4 linked regions of the Schizosaccharomyces pombe genome follow. The gene in region 4 interacts genetically with the main gene of each other region. Each region holds a gene or a part of one and is shown on either strand. Other genes may lie near its edges.

The links.
Region 1: mutations in rqt2 (region 4) and pcf3 together harm fitness more than expected from each alone (negative genetic interaction), as found in Schizosaccharomyces pombe (one large-scale study listed by BioGRID).
Region 2: mutations in rqt2 (region 4) and sgt2 together harm fitness more than expected from each alone (negative genetic interaction), as found in Schizosaccharomyces pombe (one large-scale study listed by BioGRID).
Region 3: mutations in rqt2 (region 4) and ctl1 together harm fitness more than expected from each alone (negative genetic interaction), as found in Schizosaccharomyces pombe (one large-scale study listed by BioGRID).

The regions. Positions count from the first base shown.
Region 1 is NC_003424.3:2,529,739-2,533,409, forward strand, and holds pcf3 (CAF assembly factor complex subunit B Pcf3), read left to right. Parts: upstream 1-1,545; 5' UTR 1,546-1,714; coding exon 1,715-2,941; 3' UTR 2,942-3,139; downstream 3,140-3,671. Other genes in the region: mug105 (ubiquitin-fold modifier-specific protease), read left to right, coding at 1-81; protein meu29, read left to right, coding at 400-1,053; atp19 (F0-ATPase subunit K), read right to left, coding at 3,166-3,190, 3,253-3,389, 3,432-3,476.
Region 2 is NC_003424.3:3,627,140-3,630,657, forward strand, and holds sgt2 (SGT2 family TPR repeat-containing protein), read right to left. Parts: upstream 1,817-3,518; 5' UTR 1,748-1,816; coding exon 1,645-1,747; exon of another isoform or gene 1,605-1,644; coding exon 984-1,604; exon of another isoform or gene 936-983; coding exon 706-935; 3' UTR 536-705; downstream 1-535. Other genes in the region: protein Rqc1, read left to right, coding at 1-405; DNA recombination mediator Swi2, read right to left, coding at 2,034-3,518.
Region 3 is NC_003421.2:391,513-395,860, forward strand, and holds ctl1 (choline transmembrane transporter family protein), read right to left. Parts: upstream 2,754-4,348; 5' UTR 2,673-2,753; coding exon 2,660-2,672; intron 2,623-2,659; coding exon 1,563-2,622; intron 1,514-1,562; coding exon 974-1,513; intron 923-973; coding exon 811-922; 3' UTR 510-810; downstream 1-509. Other genes in the region: proteasome regulatory subunit Rpn8, read left to right, coding at 1-253; ubiquitin hydrolase Ubp16, read right to left, coding at 3,371-4,348. UniProt on the Schizosaccharomyces pombe protein: Required for the normal organization of the preautophagosomal structure (PAS) and for the correct subcellular location of atg9.
Region 4 is NC_003423.3:3,743,957-3,751,672, reverse strand, and holds rqt2 (ATP-dependent RNA helicase), read left to right. Parts: upstream 1-1,663; 5' UTR 1,664-1,797; coding exon 1,798-7,605; 3' UTR 7,606-7,700; downstream 7,701-7,716. Other genes in the region: protein smp2, read left to right, coding at 13-201; SNARE protein Ykt6, read right to left, coding at 863-1,352, 1,401-1,504.

The sequences.
Region 1 (3,671 bases), on a different chromosome or scaffold from region 4:
GTACATTTTAAGCAAAACATTTTTTTAAATGATTTCAGTTCAAAACTGGAAGTTCGTTCTACCAGAATTTCGGACTTTTAGCTGTCCAAGCGCTGGTGATGTTTTTCATAATATTTATGAAGGCCGTTTCCCCATATATTAATTTATAGAAAAAGGAAAAACTGTTGAAAAATAATAATATATCTGATTATTCTCTTTTGACTTACTACTATGTAGTATACGTATATTTAAAATTGTTGATAGTTTCTCATATTTTCATATAGCGACATTGTTATTGAATTTAAAATTTGTTGTTTTGCGGTGAATTCGGTGTTTACATCGGTATATCCGACTTTGGCTTCCGAATGTGGATAAAGGCTAAAGTTGTTACCAAAAGTAAACAACTACCAGCCTTGCACAATGTTTGTTGTCAAGACTGCTGTATTATTATTCTTTGCATTATTTATTGGAAATACTTATGCATATACTTATTCTCTGGACAGAATTCAAGCATTAAAATTTAGTTCTGAATCCTCCAACGTTGATGATGGACCACGGCTTCATTGCAAAGGACCAGCGTGTAGCTCGCACAGCAATGATTTGGCTATTTGTCAGCATAACCAACTTAACGTTGCTCCTCATTTATTAAAATGGACTTGTGTATGGCCTAATCAGTCTTCTCATGTAGAAGTAATAGATTATAATATTGAGTGCAAAAAAACCGTCGCCTTGTCCATGGACAGCATTACTAAGACATGCATTTTAAACTATAAGTTGGAATGGACCTACTCTGGAGTATTACTACATAGGCCTTGGAAATTGTTTTCATTAAAGCCATTCACTGCTGCGTTTGTGCTCCTCCTTGCGGCTTCATATCTGGCAACTGCCTGTTTCCGTATGCTTGGTTATTTGGGAACACCTAGATCTCGTTTCCATGATAACAGAAGATGGAATGAACAGAAATTTATGGAGTTGGCGGTTTCTGCTGTAGAGGAGCAGTTATCTAATGGCATACAGCTTTTCTCCAATGTCAAACAGAGAGTTCCTGTACCCGTGTTGGATGAATCTGTTTAATACTTTGCATTTGAATCCTCGTGTTTAGCTTCCACGTAGTATCACATATCTTAAATGGATGACAGTCTAACTCTCAGAATAGGCAAACAACAGTTGAAATCGCACCTCTGTTACATATATTACAAGTTCATTCCCTTATTAATCACTCATTAATGAATGCCTCCTAATTGAAATCGAGCGCTGTCATCCCCACGGCTAATAATCGTTAGATTTCTGCATTCTATTTAGTAATATTCTTGCATTATTACCATCATATTCTCTGTCCACTTTCGTTTGCTTCTTTAACTTACAGTTAGAGAAAATACACTTTAAAATATAATAATGGAAAACAGCTATATTAAAAATCAATATTGGCATAGCAGATCATTCATAGTATTATATAACTTCTTGATATAAAATTGTTTCTTTTTTCATTTATTTGTTCAGCTGTATATGGTAATCCATATTTCGTACTAAGCGCTTCGTCTACCGACGTTGTAGGTTCAACCTTCCATGTACATACCTTCCAACAAAACTTTCTTACATATTGATGGCAAATAGTGGCTTATAGACAGATATTTTAGTTTAACTCATTCTCTAAAAGTAAAATCACTTGCATTCTTTTGAGGTGGTAGAGGTGGTTTAAACTCAAATTGTTAAAAATTTGTTAAAGTATGCAAAAATGAACACCGAACTGGATATGCAGAATTTCGAACATATTAAGTTTCTAGAGAATCAGATTAGTGAGGATCATTTTCGTTGGAAAAAAAATTCGAAACATCTATACAACTTACTAATAACCCGTACTTTAACATGGCCCTCTTTAAGTATCCAATGGCTCTCAGCAATGGAATCGATCACTGAAAAAGCGGTTTTAAAAAACCGTCTTCTCCTAGGGACTCATGCCGCTGAAGGGATGCCAAATTTCTTGCAGCTTGCAGATTTAGATTTACCTGATTTCAATCAAACTATATTGGATCCAGTAAAACACTACAATGAAGATACTGGTGAGCTAGGAGGCTATAGTATGCAACATTCTTGCAAGTTCCAAATCTCGCAACGAATTCTTCATAATGGCGATGTAAATCGTGTTCGACACATGCCTCAAAACCCAAACATCATAGCTACTATGAGCTCTTGTGGAAATGCATATATATTTGATCGGACAAAATATACTTCAATGCCCGCTGAAGAATTTTTACCAAATATCTCTTTGATTGGGCACAAAAAAGAAGGGTTTGGACTATCTTGGAATCGTCAGCAAAATTGCCGACTTGTAACAGCTGCTAATGATTCGAAAATTTTAGAATGGGATCTAAATAATTTTAGCCGTGATACGAGGTGCTTAACTCCCGTAAAGGATTTTCATTATGATGATTCTCCGGTTAATGATGTTGAATATCATCCGCACCACACCAACTTATATATTGCTGTAAATGATAATGGAATTGCCTTTATTTGTGATAACCGACTTCAACAAACATGTTCGAAAACAGTTAAAGCTTCAAATCCCCTTTTTAGCGTCAGACATAATCCTTCAATTGCGACTTTGTTTGCTTTGGGGTCTGAGCAAGATTTACAGCTTTGGGACCTTCGGAACTTAAATAAATCGGTTTTTAACACTTCTGAAGACTTATCAGATAATAGATTAAAAGTGCCTTCTAGACTAACTCTAGGAGGCACCAGTTTGTCATGGAGCTGGAGACACTCTGGTCGGATTGTTAGTGCCTGCCAAGAGTATTGCTATGTGTGGAATTTTAACAAAGCTAATCCTTTGGAGTTTGTGCATGCAGGTCATAAAGGTACGGTGAATGAAGTGGACTTTGATCCGTTTGAGGCACAATGTATTGCTTCGGTTGCTGATGACAATGAATTACACATTTGGAAGCCCAATGTTATTGTTAATTAATAAATACTTACATCCATCACACGAGGTAATACAAAGTTTTAAGTTATACAGCAATTAATTAATTGCAATTTTGATGGGTATGTTGCAGGGCTATATTGTATTCATTCATCTTCAAATTTGCTCAACGTGTACATTAAAATTACCTAATGACATAGAGATATTTCATTACTAATGAAAAGATAATTTTTCACTCACTAATCGTCCGTTCGGTAATCAAGGATTTCCTACTTATGTTCTTCAATGTATTTCCTATAAAGTAGTATTAGTAAATATATTCCAAACACTCGCTATAGAGCAATAGCTTTACTTACAAAATGAATTCTTCTTCTTCTTTGCTTTTGGCATTCAAAGGAGGAACATCCTTTGCGCTAAGTGGCTTATTTCTTTTAAACAATTTACTATAGATCACAGGACCAACAAATACTGAACCGAGAACAGCTAAACTCAACTATGTTCATTGTTAGGTGTACGGAATTTGAAAAATACATACTTGATGAGCTTGGAATTGACGACCTGCAATTGTATAAACCGACATAATGCTTATATTTAATAGTGAATGATTGAATCAAGAGAAGGGAGGTAAAGGTTTAACACGGTTAGCAGCGAATATGAAGCCGACTGTAAACTTAGCAATCAATATATTCGTTAAATTAGCTTAACGAAAAATAAGGAATACAGTTATCACTTCAAGTACATATAAAATTGCAATAGAATCAACTACATGAAATTA
Region 2 (3,518 bases), on a different chromosome or scaffold from region 4:
CGTGTTATCCTGTTAAATGAGCAAAGCTTGAGAAAATTTCTACCACAGAGAATCTTGCAAGGAACTATTTTATCCTTTGATCCTCTACCTCCTGATACATATTTAAGCGAGTCACAAGTCTTTGGTAGAGATATATCTCGTCGAATTGCGTCGTTCTTGTCCGATTATTTATCCAGAGCAAGAGAAGTTAATGAAAATGAGGAAGAACCCCCTGCTCATGAGTTTGATCTTCCTCCTGCTGAACAATTGCTACAACAGATTGAATCGGAGGTTGGTGAAGAATCAGAAGATGGAACTCCGGTGATGACCCGACTACGTTCATTTTTTGGAAGCTTGTTTACATCAACAAACTCAGAGACGGAACCTGCAGAAGAAAGCACAGAAGAGATGGGTCAAGGGGATTGAATTATTTCAAAAGAATTGTTTAATGAAGTCCTTATTTTCATACAACGAAAGCTATTGTAAAATTATCAATAAAAATTAGATGAACTATTTAAAAATAATACGAAAAACGATGCAAACGCTACTGTAAATACGGTAATCTTAACAAACATGTACAATATGATTGATTAGCAGAATGATTGTATATGCAAGGTACTAAAAAATGTCAAAGCAATTCTTCAAGTATTCAAAATGAATTTAAATGCAAGATATAAACTGCTTGAATGAAAAGCAAAAACAAACAAATCAATATACACCTATACTTTATTGAGGGGGAGGATTTCCTTGGTTATTGTTATCAGTGTTGCCATTATTGTTATTGTTCATAAAATTGCGAGCCAAATTTTGCAGTTGGGGGTTATTGGCAAGAGAACTCAAGTCAGGCATACCTCCTCCAGATTGAAAGTTACGGGCCATGTTGGCAATATTAGGGTCATTCATAATATTATTCAAAGCACCCGATTGCATCAAGTTACGCGCCATGTTCATAACAGCTAAAATCACTTATTAACAATGAATAATGTATACACTAAAAAACTTACCAGGATTGTTCATCAAAGAACCTAAATCAGGCATACCTCCTCCAAAAATGGATCCAAGATCAGGAGCGGCACCAGCAGAAGTGCGAGCTTGGTCAGCTCCAGAAGTAGCGGATGAATCCGATGGTTGATTCAATTGCTTGTTAGCAGCTTCCAAACCTCTCTTTAAAACCTCATTATTGGGATCAAAGTCTAAGCCCTTCTTATAAGCATCAGCTGCCGCTGCTGCATCGCCAAGTGACAATTTGGCACGACCAAGTCGTCCAAAGGCTCGAGCATGATGAGGATCTAAACTTAAGCATGTTAAAGCATCTTCTACAGCATTTTCGAATTGCCCTAGCTGATTATACGCGGCTGCACGATTGGAGTAGTAAACTGGAGAGGTAGGATCGATTTCTATGGCTTTAGTGTATAAATCCAAAGCTTTTTGATAATCCTTTGCCGCAATGGCATTATTTCCTTCAAGTTTTAATTTCTCAGCCTCTTCTTTATTAACATGAGCAGTGGAATCCTCCTCCACTGGATGCAGTTTTTCGTACTCCTCAAAAGCAGCAACTAAACGATCCCCTGACTTGGGCTTAATTTCTTCTGGTTTGATTTTAAAAGAATCTTGAATACATTGAGCTGATTTTGGTTAGATTATCTTAAATGGGGTTACACATACCAGCAACCTCCAAGCTTTCCTTTTCTTCTTCAGAAATCGAACCGGTGGTAATAGCTTGCTTCAAATAGTCAATAATAGCCGCAGTAACTTTGTTAGAGCTCATTTTCCTAATCGTTTTAAGAACCGATTTTTTTCGTATTACTGAAAGTATATCGTGAGATGCGCGAAGGGCAAAATTATTCCAAGCGCCGTTATAGATTTTTATATACGTAAACATGCAAATAATAAAATGAATTTTTGATTCCTAATTATATTGCTATTAAAATAACATTAGATAACTATAGTACCTTTAATGTGAATCATGAACTGTAAAATACTGATATGACAAAAAAAAACAAAAATAGATAGAAACAACAGACAGGAAGCAAAGAAAAAACTAAAAACATATATTATTCCAGGTCCCAGCTTTCTGTCTCAGAATTATATTGAAGGAGATGGAAGGGTATTTGCAACTGTTCAAGGTACGTACCAATGGAACATGGCTTGGTGCGTAAATCATTAGCTGATGTGCGTAAAACAGACTGTGGAACTTCTTGAAGCATGGTTGTAAACTTCAAAGAAAAAACAGGAAATAGCACTTCGACTGCTAATTGCGCAGATTTTCGCCAATTTTGGATTTTTCTTTCAACCACCTGTATCTGTTTAGAATTTTTGTCAGTGTCAAGAGCGAGCTCTACAACGGATAATTGTTCTTTCAAGCCACCAATTTCTAATTCAAGGTTACGGATTCTGTTAATTAGTTTGCTATCCGTTTCACTTGGAGCAGTAGCCATTGAGATAGGCTTGGCACAATACAGCCGTTCAGGTGAGGAAACAGTTAAGCGGGTTCGCGAAATCTTCGAAATCGGAGGATGAAATGGTTTAATGAGAGCCTTTCGTACAGACATTTTATTAACATTCTTAAATGGCCGCGTAATTAAATCTTTGTTGACCCCTGGGTGCATAGTAGATTTAAGAGATGGAAGGCTTCGATTTATCAAAGAGGTAGAAAGACAGACATTAGAATAGTTTGGAGTATTGTTCTCATTGGACAAAATAGTATTTTTATAGGTGTTCGGTTTAATAATATTAGAATGGTTTGAATGATTATTCCCAATTGATAAAACACTGTTTTTGTATGAATTCGGCTTAGTGACATTAGTACGATTTTTGCTATTATTTTCATTCAACACAGCTTCGCCTCTGTTGGAAACCATTTCAGTTTGTACTTTCCCATACAATCCAGTCCAAACATTCTCCTTCCGAGATGCTAGAAGATCGACCCTCTTATGCTTATGGGAGGTAGCAGACTTAGGGGGAGTGTAATCATAGTTAAATTTAATACTTGAATTAGGAATATGCGTGGCTTGTTGTTCAGACTCATTGATGCAAGTTTCATCAAAGTCTTGATCTACACCGTAGGGATTCAACAAATCTTCTTGATGTTGAGATTCAGCTAGTGGTTGCTCAAGTCGACGTGATTGTTTCCGTTCTTCTATTGCCATTTTGTTAATGGTAATTAATGAATTTTCGGAAAAAGTTGGCTCCATATCACTAGGTAATGGAGAAATGTCAAAAATAGTCGGCTCACTAGACAATGGATCTTGACCAGTAGAATCAGAAGTTAAATCAGGGAAGTCTTCATCCTCTCTTGATGGCTCAAAATCAAATTCCTCAGAACAACCATTGTTCCAATCGATATGATGAGGTAACGAGGGCTCTGTATATATACTAGGTTTTATGGTAACCGGAATGACTACAGCATCGAAAACTTTTCTCGGTTTCTTAATCCTTGGAGACAGAGTAGGATATATTTCCTCCTTTTCAGGATACTTCCTCCAGCCTGTAGGTCTTCCCCTTCTTCTTGGCAATCCTTCCTCGAAGTTCAAATCTTT
Region 3 (4,348 bases), on a different chromosome or scaffold from region 4:
TAATCTTTTGCCTAACATTTTTAGCGGTCCTGTGGTTTCAGAACAGGCCTTGGAATCAGAGGCACAACGTGCTTTCAATGTGAATTCCAATGATCAGTTGATGTCCATTTATATTTCCAGCATCGTGAGGGCCGTGATTGCTCTTCATGATCTTTTGGATTCTTTGGCTGCTAGTAAAGCTATGGAACAGCAGGACATAAAGCCAACTGTTCAAAATGGAGAAGTTTCGGCTAATGCCGAACAAAAGGCTTAATCACTGTATTCATACTATCCATGTCTGGCTTCTATCATTTGTGGACTCCTCTTTCTGAGATTTAACGACTTTATCTAACGTAGGTTTTTTATTTCAATGTCTAAGTATCATAGAGTTTTTATTTATATCTTGTCTTTTCGCAGACAGTTTTGCAGATATTTGTAACCCTCTTAACTTGTAAAAGTTACACGTCGGGTTCGGGTTTATTTGCTTGTATGTTAAAAATGATATGTCTACGTTTGTTAAATTGTATTTACGAAGGATAAAAGTGTAATTTTAAGTTAGTACGAAGAAATTGCATACAAAATATCATATTTTAATTTACAGTGATATGATGGATAGCTTGAGAAAAAACTTTTCATGAAAAGAAATCCTAGCAAACGCCAAGGTGTCAATGTTAAAAAGTAGGCTGACATTATATTAATGAAGTAAAAGGGAATAGGGATACGCGTACAGGTGACCAGCATCTCTTTCTTTGAGCTCTTTGATGAAAGTAGGTTCTAAGGAAGTTAAAAGAAACAGAAAAACAGCAAAAGAAGTAATTCGCATTTTTGGTTTTAATATCCATTTGATTCAAAAAGCTGCCATGCCTCGAAACAGTGAGAACCATTAGGATCTCCTTGGCAGCTAGAAATATCGATAATAGAGCATATAAGTAACGCATCCACACTGTGAAAAAGTTAGTATTTTACGCGAGGATAACTAAATATAATTACTCACATCATGCTGAGGCCGCCCTCTATGGCGCCAATGATAAGCCAAGCAAGGAATCCGCCTAAAAGTCCTACAATGTAGCCATAAAAGACACCATTTTCATGAATGGAATAATTCCACGAAGTAACGCCAACTCCTATAGCGAGGAGGGAACGAGCGGCTAGCAAAGTGTATTTAGAAAAATAGTAGGAACGTCGGCGTAATCCTACTCGGTTCAATTGTTCGATTTGATACAAAGCCTTGGACGCATTCATGTACGGGACTGAGTAAATTGATGCGTATGCTAGGGTAAGAGGAGATGTGACATACGAAGCAGACGTCTTTGAAAACATATAATATACAATACGCGAAACGTGTCTTAGCCATGTGGGTAGGAAATGCAATGGTACTTTGGTGATAACAACTAAAAAGGAAGAAAAGGCACATAAACCATACTGATTGGAAACAACGTGATAGAAAAAGTGAGAAACTAAATTGGTTTTGGTAGCCGAAGACTTAGTATCACGATAAAAAAACCATTGAGAAACAATTGAAGAAATAATAGCGCTACAATTGTGTTAGTAAAAAATCCGGCCAAAGCAATATAATAACATACCATTGAAGAGCATGAAAAAATGTGCACAACCATAAGAAATGAAGTGAATAAAAGGAGGCCAAGACCCAAGAACTTCTCGGCAAAACCCATACAGAACCAACAAGGGTAGAACCGCGCAAAAATAAGCGGGCAAACAATCTTACCCATATAAAGATTAAAACATAAAACGAAAACAAGAAGCTGATGAATATTAAAGTGATTTGAGGAATATCAGCTATAACACGACAAGCAAGCCGAATAATATTAAAGGAAGTTTCAAAATGAATACGACGCCGCCAAACATAATATGAAAGCAGAATGGGTGCAACAAGCAAAATTATCCCAGTTAATAGCATCAACTTTGGTTGAATTGACGTTTCCAAGTGGATCCTAGACGCTTTTAACAAGTAGACAGCAAAAGCAAACATGGTCAATGGGACCGATGCTAGCAGGAAGTACAGAAAACGAGGAATTGCGACAAGACAGAAGAGCCATATAACTGAAAGCATCATACAAATAATCGCATCTTTATGAAATAATGGAAATGCTTTTTGTATTGCTGCGTAAGGAGAAGTGGCTGGAGGAATATTAGGATTTGTCCGCCAAACCATCAGGAAGCTATAGGTAAAGAGAGCCAACGTCAAAAATCCAAATGTTAATCCCCATTTTCGATCTGGAACCTTCTGTTCTGATGGAAGATGGGCATCATAAGGTAATTCCGTATATTCTTCATTTACGCTTTCATGAGATATAGTCTGTGGATTCGGTTGAACACCTAAATTTTCGGAGAAATTTCCATTGTAAATAGAATTCTCTTTAGAAAATAACTCGTTTTCGTTCCTTGAAATATGAGAGTTTGACTGCTCTTGTTCTCGTAATTGCCAATGGATAGACCCAGAATCTATCAAGGAGTTCAAACCATGCAAACTCGAAGACCCGGCGCTCAAATCAGTCTCATGACTATCAATTGAGCTATTTCTGTCTATGCTAACACTCTGAAGATTCGATCTTGAGGTAGGATATTTAAAATTGCGCTGGTCAACAGAAGAGAATCTTGATTGTGCAAGAAAACGCGAAGCATCTACTCGTTAGTGTAACTTTCTTCTATTACTACTTACAATCGCTAAACATAGATTTGCTTCACGTATATAAAATCACTTTACTAGTCAATTTGAAGGAGTTTTGGAAATTGGTCGTTGGGTGCAAAGGGTTACTCATTCCTCTCCATTGAAATCTATATGACGAAGATGGTAGCACTTTGTGGCACTAACAAATATATCCGTTAAGCTTAATTGGAAACCTTCTACTACTATGAATTTAATAACCGACCTCTACATTTGCAAAAATTGCAATTAAATGTTTTTGCTAATACGATTTACTGTCGTTATAATAGAATGGGTATCAAGTATGTTTACATTGAAAATAATGATCAATTTCTTCATAAAAACGATAAAGGAGAAGAAGATAACTTCAGGTACTTTAATAAAATGCAATGCCTACGGCTAAAGCCTAAGGAAGAATTACCCGGTTCCGTAGGAGATAAGCATTAAATCCGCTATAATTCAACAGAAGATATGTCAAAATAAAATTATCATTTTGACCAACGAACTGATTTAAAAGCTAAAAAGTTGCTCATTTCAGTCTTATGCAATGCAGCGGTTTAATTTACAAAATGATTTCTATAAAAAATCGCTGTTTCAAGATTAAAATGTTCTACGTGCAATAATATTATACCATCAACCTCTAAATAAGAGAGACATTAGCATATTAAAAAAAAAGATAGGCAAAAGGAAGCAAAAACTTTAACTGCTCAAGCTAACTGTATCGCATTAAAATGAAATTTTTCTCCGTTTTTTATTAGAAGTTTTGGTAACCGTGTTTTCGGTGTTTAGCTTGTGTTTAGACGATGAAGTTGATTTCCTCTTGTATTGCAAAATATAGGCCTGTTGATTCAAAACTCGATCAATACTGGAATTGGAAACGAAATCATCGTCAAATTTAAGCCAAACACCATTACTACTTTTGCAAAACGAATAATAATGGCCGCTTCGGGTACTTCCGCCTGCATGTACAAGAACCCCAATTAATTCGTACCAACAAGAACAATTGGGATCTGACATATACGGACCGAGATTGAATGATTCAGGGTATGAAATTTGCTTACTGATTTTGCTAGATTGGAAACCGTTGAATGTGAACCGCTTGAAGTGAATGGTTAAAATATTTGGTGCCCGATAAATAGTCATTTGCTTGGACGCATCCACCAGTTGCTTACAATTTTCACATCGATATTTGTTTTGTTTGGTAAGTTTTTCTGCATGCACAAAATGCTTTAAGGAATCTGCCAAGGAGGAGCCCTTCGCATCCACAGATAAGTCAAGTAAAGCTTGGTAGGTGTTGGAAGGTTTTTTACAAACTGAGCATAGAATCTGCTGGCGTAGGTAACCACCAAAAATTCTGTGTACTACCGAAGTCTCCCTGCTTGGATGATCAAGATTTTTATGGTTTTGAAGACAAGACTTTTGCCAAGCATCAACCAAATATCGCATAAATTCATGAGCATCTTCTTGGCGATATGGGCGGAAATGACTGGAAATTACTTTGAGCATACTTTGTATACCTGAAGGTTTGAAGGCCGAAGCTCGTTTGGTGCCTTTGTTGGGATAGGCACGGGCGACATGTTGCTCCATTCTACAGAGTACACATGCATTCATACGGCAGGATAAAGAATGTTGACCGGATAAAAGATATTGAACCAACGGTGGAGTTTGAGTCATCAACTGAAGTACTGAATTCATGAAACAAGT
Region 4 (7,716 bases):
GCACACATTCACATGCAGCACAATAAGGAAAATCATTTTGTAGAGGATGCAAAGCAATTCCAAGAAAAAGCAAAACTCTATCAAGGAAACTACTATACACTGGATGGAGAATTAATCACCATAATACCTAGCTCGAAGGAGGGCTTTCGATCATGCAAATCGCTTTATTATAAGAAGAAGCAACCTATACCGGGAAGGTAATAAAATATAGATGCAGCTGCATCTGCAGCATATTGATGGCGTGCTTGCACATACTCCTCAACCCTTCAAACTTTTACTTCAATAAACGAAGGGTACCAAACCACTACCTTTCTTGAACTATTTTATCAAAGAAATGCATAATAGCATTAACGAATAATGAAAATTACTACCAAACCATTTTGCTTGCCAACAACAATTGAGTTTGTGTAACTTGATATATACTAGAAGATAAATCTAAACTATAGAAAAATCTGTAACGAAAAAAGCCCGATAGTTTTCTCGCTCCAACAAACTCAATAATTTTACAATCTTTAAAAAAATCTCCTTTACAAGTTTATAAAGTGAACCATTCATGCTATGAGCATCAACGAAGAGTGTGTATGCTCATTGAAACATGCTAGACTTTTTCAACAAGTAATCTACTCTATAACATAAAAGCAATCCGGAATGCAAACAACGTGTCATGAAAAGATCAGATTAAAGATAATGATAGAAGAACAATTTCATGGACTCTAGGAACAGGCGCAGAAAAATTAACAAGGTTTTGATATTCAATCGATAATTGCAGCAAACAAAATGCAAGAATACCAACTTGAAAAAATATGATATAATTTGGGCATTGGGAAGAAAGGAAAACCAAACAAATGAATTTATAAAATAATTAAGCTATTATACAGCAAGAATTTTGCTTTTTAGCAGATTTATAAAACATTCGAGACTGTGTAGATAAGTTATCACTACGTTGGATCAAGTCGTCCAACTTCTCTCCTCTAGCTAAGACACTCTCGATTGTTTTATGAAGTACATCTTTAGTTTCATCCAATTCTTGTTGCACTCGCATAATCGTATCAGCCTGCTTGGGGTCTTGATATTTTGATAGATAGGTATCCAATTCTGGAAAGGATAGGGTAACAGCACCAGATTCCCATTTGGTGCGAGGATTTTTTGTCAAAAATTCGTCTAGAATCTTATTTAGAAGAGTATAAGCAACACGTAAAGGGTATTCCTTGTCACTAGCAATCACACCGCACAACCCATCCGATCGGTTGTACACATGAAAAACGTAATTGGACTGTTCAACGTCTTGTCTTTGCCCTGGATTAGTACGTTCTGCAACAGTCTTTGTAAAAAAATTCATGAACTCTCCGATGCTGAAATATTTGTTAACAAACTACTCTTCAATTAAATCTTGCACATACGATGATCGTTGAAAAAATGAGAAACTAGATAAGTCTGAGGCAGTGCATAATAATTGCACTGGTTTTGGGTCAAAGCGGAGTATAGAGACAGAATACAGCTTCATTCTGTAAATATGCTGTAAATCAAGTTAATGGTGTGGGTTAAGTTTGTTTCTGCTTTGGTTGAAAACGCCATACTTCTTGCAATCGTATGTACACACATAATACCTTCGACTACGGTATTTTTCTATTACACAAATAATAGGTAGTGGCCATTTGTTTACAAACCATCCCCTACACTACTAGCAGTGCTAAATTGGGTAGTATATTGGATACAATCCTATAAAAGCAATAAAAATTCAAATTTTTTCTGTTTAAGGAGGTTTTAATTTCAACGATCTATCCTTTTACAGTTTTCATGGAAGTTGAGTTAAATTATGTAGTGAATCACTTAGAAAAGCTAGGTCCTGCTAGTTTTTGTGATACTCCATATAGCTTTTCGCTGAGTGATTCGAATGCTGAGCTAGGTGCTTTATCGTTAAAAGTTGACGAAATTTTGAAAACAAATTATAATTTAATCAATCCCGAGGACGTTACTGACTCCGACAATAATGAATTTGCTCTTAAAGATTTAACTTGGCTGCAAAATTGCTGCAATGAAATTTCTCAATCTTCAAGTACTGAACTTGATGCTTCAGTACTATTTGAAGCAGTCATTATGAGCCTAAAAGCGACTGAAGATCAATGTGCCATTCAAGAAGATTTACTGAATCTTGTTGGACTTGATCATATTGACTTGATTTCAGATATCGTCGCTAATTCGTCCAATTTAATAGAAGAATACATGAATCAAAATGATACTTCAATTGCTGCGCAACTTTCTGATGGCTATACCTCTGAAGCTGGTTCTTCTGCTACGCATGGTCAGGGATTATTAGACAGTTTAAAAAGTAGGCCGAGAAGATTTAGTCGGTCTCGTGATAACAGAGGTCCTTTATTTACTGGACAGCAAGTTTTTGAAGTGGAAAAATATCCTCATGTGTATGGGGATAAAAGGCTTGGTAATACTATTAGCGTCATTGGGAAAAAGTTTGCATTACCGGCTGGTAGTGAAAGAGAAGATTACCAGAAATATGAAGAGATTATTGTTCCTCATGCTCAGCGTGCTCCACAAATGCAAGGGGAAAAGTTGTTAGAAATTTCTTCGATGGATATTCTTTGTCGAAAAACATTCCTTAGCTACCAAACTTTGAACAGAATCCAATCGCTTGTCTATCCTATCGCCTACAAGACAAACGAGAATATGTTAATTTGTGCACCTACAGGTGCAGGAAAAACTGATGTTGCTCTGCTCGCAATGTTGCAAACAATCTCCAACTATGTAGAAAGTATGAATCTTATGGATGAATCGGAACCTCTAGATGTTCATAGAGATGATTTTAAGATTGTCTACATTGCTCCTATGAAGGCATTGGCTGCTGAGGTTGTAGAGAAAATGGGAAAACGTCTCGCTTGGTTGGGATTGAAAACTAGAGAACTTACTGGTGATATGCAACTAACCAAAACGGAAATAGCAGAAACTCAGATACTTGTTACAACACCTGAAAAATGGGACGTAGTTACTAGAAAAAGCGTCGGCGACACTCAGTTAGCCGAGAAAGTACGTTTGGTTATCATTGATGAAGTACATATGCTTCATGATGAACGTGGTGCTGTTATTGAATCACTTGTCGCTAGGACACAAAGGCTGGTAGAAACAAGTCAACAGATGATTAGAATTGTTGGTCTTTCTGCCACACTTCCAAACTACCTTGATGTAGCTGATTTTTTAGGCGTCAATAGGTACAAGGGATTGTTTTATTTTTCATCTGCATTTCGTCCATGCCCTATTGAACAGCATTTCATCGGTGCTAAAGGTTCTCCTAAAATAGTAAACTCAAATATTGATGAAGCTTGTTTTGATAAAGTTTTGAAACTGATTCAGGAAGGCCATCAGGTAATGATATTTGTACATTCTAGGAAGGAAACCATTAATTCAGCTAAGAAGTTGAGGGAACAATTTTTCCATGAGGGAGAGGCTGATTTGTTGGACAACTCACAACATGAAAAATATAGTCTAGCTCAAAGAGATGTTTCAAAGTCAAAAAACAAAGAGTTAAAAGAACTTTTCAAATACAGTATGGGGATTCACAACGCTGGCATGTTACGATCGGACCGACATCTTACTGAACGTTTGTTTTCTATGGGTATTCTTAAAATTTTATGCTGTACTGCTACCCTAGCATGGGGTGTTAATTTACCGGCTTATGCTGTATTAATTAAAGGAACTCAGCTTTATGATCCACAAAAGGGTTCTTTTGTAGATCTTGGCGTGTTGGACGTTTTACAAATATTCGGTCGTGCTGGTCGTCCTCAGTTTGAAAGTTCGGCAGTCGCGTACATAATTACGACACATGATAAACTTTCTCATTACATCTCCGTTGTAACACAACAAAGCCCTATTGAATCTCGTTTCACCGATAGATTGGTTGACAACTTAAACGCTGAAGTTTCTTTAGGAACGGTAACTAATATTGACGAAGCTGTATCGTGGTTAGGTTATACTTATCTTTATATCAGGATGAGACGTAATCCACTTGTATACGGTATTGCTTATGACGAACTTGTTGAGGATCCTTTACTAGGCAGCAAGCGAAGAGAATTGGTATCTGTAGCGGCAGGAAGGCTGGCAGATAATCAAATGATCGTTTACAATAAGAAAAACGGATACCTGATTCCTAAAGATTTAGGTAGAATCGCGTCCAATTACTATATCAATTATCAAACTGTCTCAACATTAAATAATTTATTGAAAAGCAAAATGTCGGAAGCAGACATTATAGCTCTTTTGAGCCAATGCAGCGAGTTTTCCCAAATCAAATCGAGAGAAAATGAGCATCGTGAGCTTGAATCACTAATGGAAAACAGTAGTCCTTGTCAGTTGAGGGATAGTATTTCGAATACATCAGGAAAAGTTAACGTTATTCTGCAGTCATACATTTCTCGTGCGCATGTAGAAGATTTTACCCTAACATCAGATACAAATTATGTTGCACAAAACGCGGGTCGAATAACTAGGGCTCTTTTCGAAATTGCAATGTCAAGGACTTGGGCCTCGGCATTTACTATCCTTAGCTTAAACAAGTCAATTGATAGGAGGCAGTGGTCTTTTGAACACCCCTTACTTCAGTTTGATCTTCCACATGACCTTGCAGTCAAAGTGGAAAATCAGTGTGGGTCTTTATCATTAGAAGAATTGTCGGACATGTCTACAGGAGAACTTGGTGATCTTATTCATAACCGAAAAATGGGCCCTACAGTTAAAAAATTTATTTCCAAATTACCTCTTTTAAACATTAATGTTGATTTGCTACCTTTAACGAAAAACGTTTTGCGACTTGTATTAAATATCACTCCCAATTTTAATTGGGACATGAGATATCATGGAAACAGTCAAATGTTTTGGATATTTGTTGAAGATAGTAACGGTCTTGAGATTCTTCATCATGAACAGTTGCTCCTAAATAAACGGAACGTTAGCACTTCTCATTTACTATCCTTTACCATACCTGTGTCTAATCCATTACCCTCACAACTATACATTATTGCAGTATCAGATAAATGGCTAGGCGCTGAAACAGTTACCCCGGTTTCTCTTTCTAATGTTGTTTTTCATGACGATTCCAATCCCATTACAGAATTATTGGATCTTCAACCTTTACCAATTACGGCTTTGCACGATCCAGTGCTAGAAGGTATATGCGCTAAAAGATTCTCGTTTTTTAATGCAGTCCAAACTCAATTTTTTCACACTATTTATCACACCGATACAAATATTTTCGTTGGTGCACCTACTGGATCTGGTAAAACTATGGCCGCAGAATTAGCTACTTGGAGAGCTCTTCACAATTATCCTAAGTCGAAAGTAGTTTATATTGCTCCAATGAAAGCTTTAGTCAAGGAAAGAGTAAAGGACTGGGGACACAGGTTAGTTGAACCAATGGGGATTAGTATGATTGAATTAACTGGTGATACTAACCCGGATGTTAAGGCTGTTACGAATGCAAATATCATAATTACAACACCGGAAAAATGGGATGGTATTACTAGAAGTTGGAAATCTAGGAAGTATGTTCAGGATGTCTCATTAATTATCCTTGACGAAATCCATTTATTAGGTAGCGATCGAGGTCCTGTCCTTGAAATGATTGTCTCCCGAATGAATTATGTTGCTTCTCAAACTAATAAGAAAGTTAGAGTTCTTGGTTTATCTACTGCTGTTGCTAACGCTAACGATCTTGCAAATTGGCTTAACATAAGAGATGGTCTATTTAATTTTAGGCATTCCGTGCGCCCAGTTCCTTTAGAAATATATATCGATGGATTCCCTGGTAGAGCCTATTGCCCAAGGATGATGTCGATGAATAAGCCTGCTTTTCAAGCCATCAAAACGCACTCTCCTACCCAACCTGTTTTAATTTTTGTTTCGTCGCGCCGTCAAACTAGATTAACTGCAAAAGATTTGATAGCTTTTTGTGGTTTAGAAGACAATCCTAGGAGATTTTTGTACATGGATGAAGAAGAATTAGAAATGATTGTTTCAGAAGTTGAAGATAAAAGCCTCAAGTTGGCTTTACCATTTGGTATAGCACTTCACCATGCTGGTTTGACTGAAAATGATAGAAAAATTTCCGAAGAGCTTTTTGTAAATAATAAAGTTCAGATTCTCATCGCCACCAGCACTCTTGCATGGGGTGTAAATACGCCGGCACATTTGGTAATTGTGAAAGGAACAGAGTATTACGATGCTAAAATTGGAGGCTATAAAGACATGGATTTGACGGATGTGCTTCAAATGTTAGGGCGTGCAGGACGACCACAATTTGACAATTCTGGTGTGGCACGTATATTTGTACAGGATATTAAGAAGTCGTTTTATAAGCACTTTCTACATAGTGGATTTCCAGTAGAGTCTTATTTACATAAAGTATTGGATAACCATTTAAATGCCGAGATTGCTACGGGCACTATAGATTGCATACAGGGTGCAATGGATTTTTTAACGTGCACTTACTTCTATCGAAGAGTTCATCAAAATCCCGTTTATTACGGTGCTGATGGAGATGACCAAAAGAGTATAGATACTTATTTATCGAAACTTGTTGTGACTGCATTTAATGAACTTGAAAAGTCAGCTTGCATATATCGTGTCAACGAAGAAACCTATGCACCTACAACTTTGGGTCGTATAGTTAGTTACTATTATCTTTTTCATACCACCATCAGAAACTTCGTTCAAAAAATAACTGAGAACGCTGAGTTCGATCTTGCGTTGCAATTGCTTGCTGAAGCATCTGAGTTTGACGATCTCGCTATTCGTCACAACGAAGATTTGATAAACATAGAGATTAATAAATCTCTGAAATATTCGGCTGCTTGCCTAAACCTTCCTATGGTCGATGCTCATGTTAAGGCATTTATATTAACTCAAGCTCACATGGCAAGATTGAAACTTCCAGTGGATGATTATGTTACTGATACTAGCACGGTTTTAGATCAGGTTATTCGTATTATACAGTCTTATATTGATGTGTCCGCTGAGCTAGGCTACTCCCATGTCTGTTTACAGTACATATCTCTAATGCAGTGTCTTAAACAGGCTTGCTATCCGAGTGAGATTTACAGAGCTTCATTACCTGGACTTAATGCGTCTAGTGAAAAGGAAGCAAGAGATTATCTCAACAAATTTGCAGGAAATAAAACTGATGAGTTATATCAAATGCTATGTAATGACCCTAACGTTTTTGATATAGAAAGTCTGGTCAATAGTTTAATTTCGTATCCTAAAATGAACATTGAAGTTTCTCAATCGTCTTCAGATAAGCTACTCCTTTATCTACGACGCCTCAATCAGCCGCTCAACCCCGATTTTTACATTTTTGCGCCGTTGTTCCCTAAACCTCAAAGTGAGGGATTTTTCGTTCTCATCATAGATTCAGAAACTCAAGAACTGTTCGCGATACGTCGGGCCTCATTTGCTGGGCGAAGAAACGATGATTCAATTCGTTTATCCCTTCGGATTTCAATGGATATTCCACCAACTTGCCGCAACAGAAATGTAAAAGTCATGGTTGTTTGTGATGGATACCCATTAATTTACGAACATAAAATTGTATTGATGATTTAATGAAGCTTTTGTAGAAAAATAGAAGGCTTTAAGCCAATTTCCTTATTATATTTAAGTCTGTTTAATAAAAATTAATTAACAAATCTATAGACCTCAATAATCCTATTAATT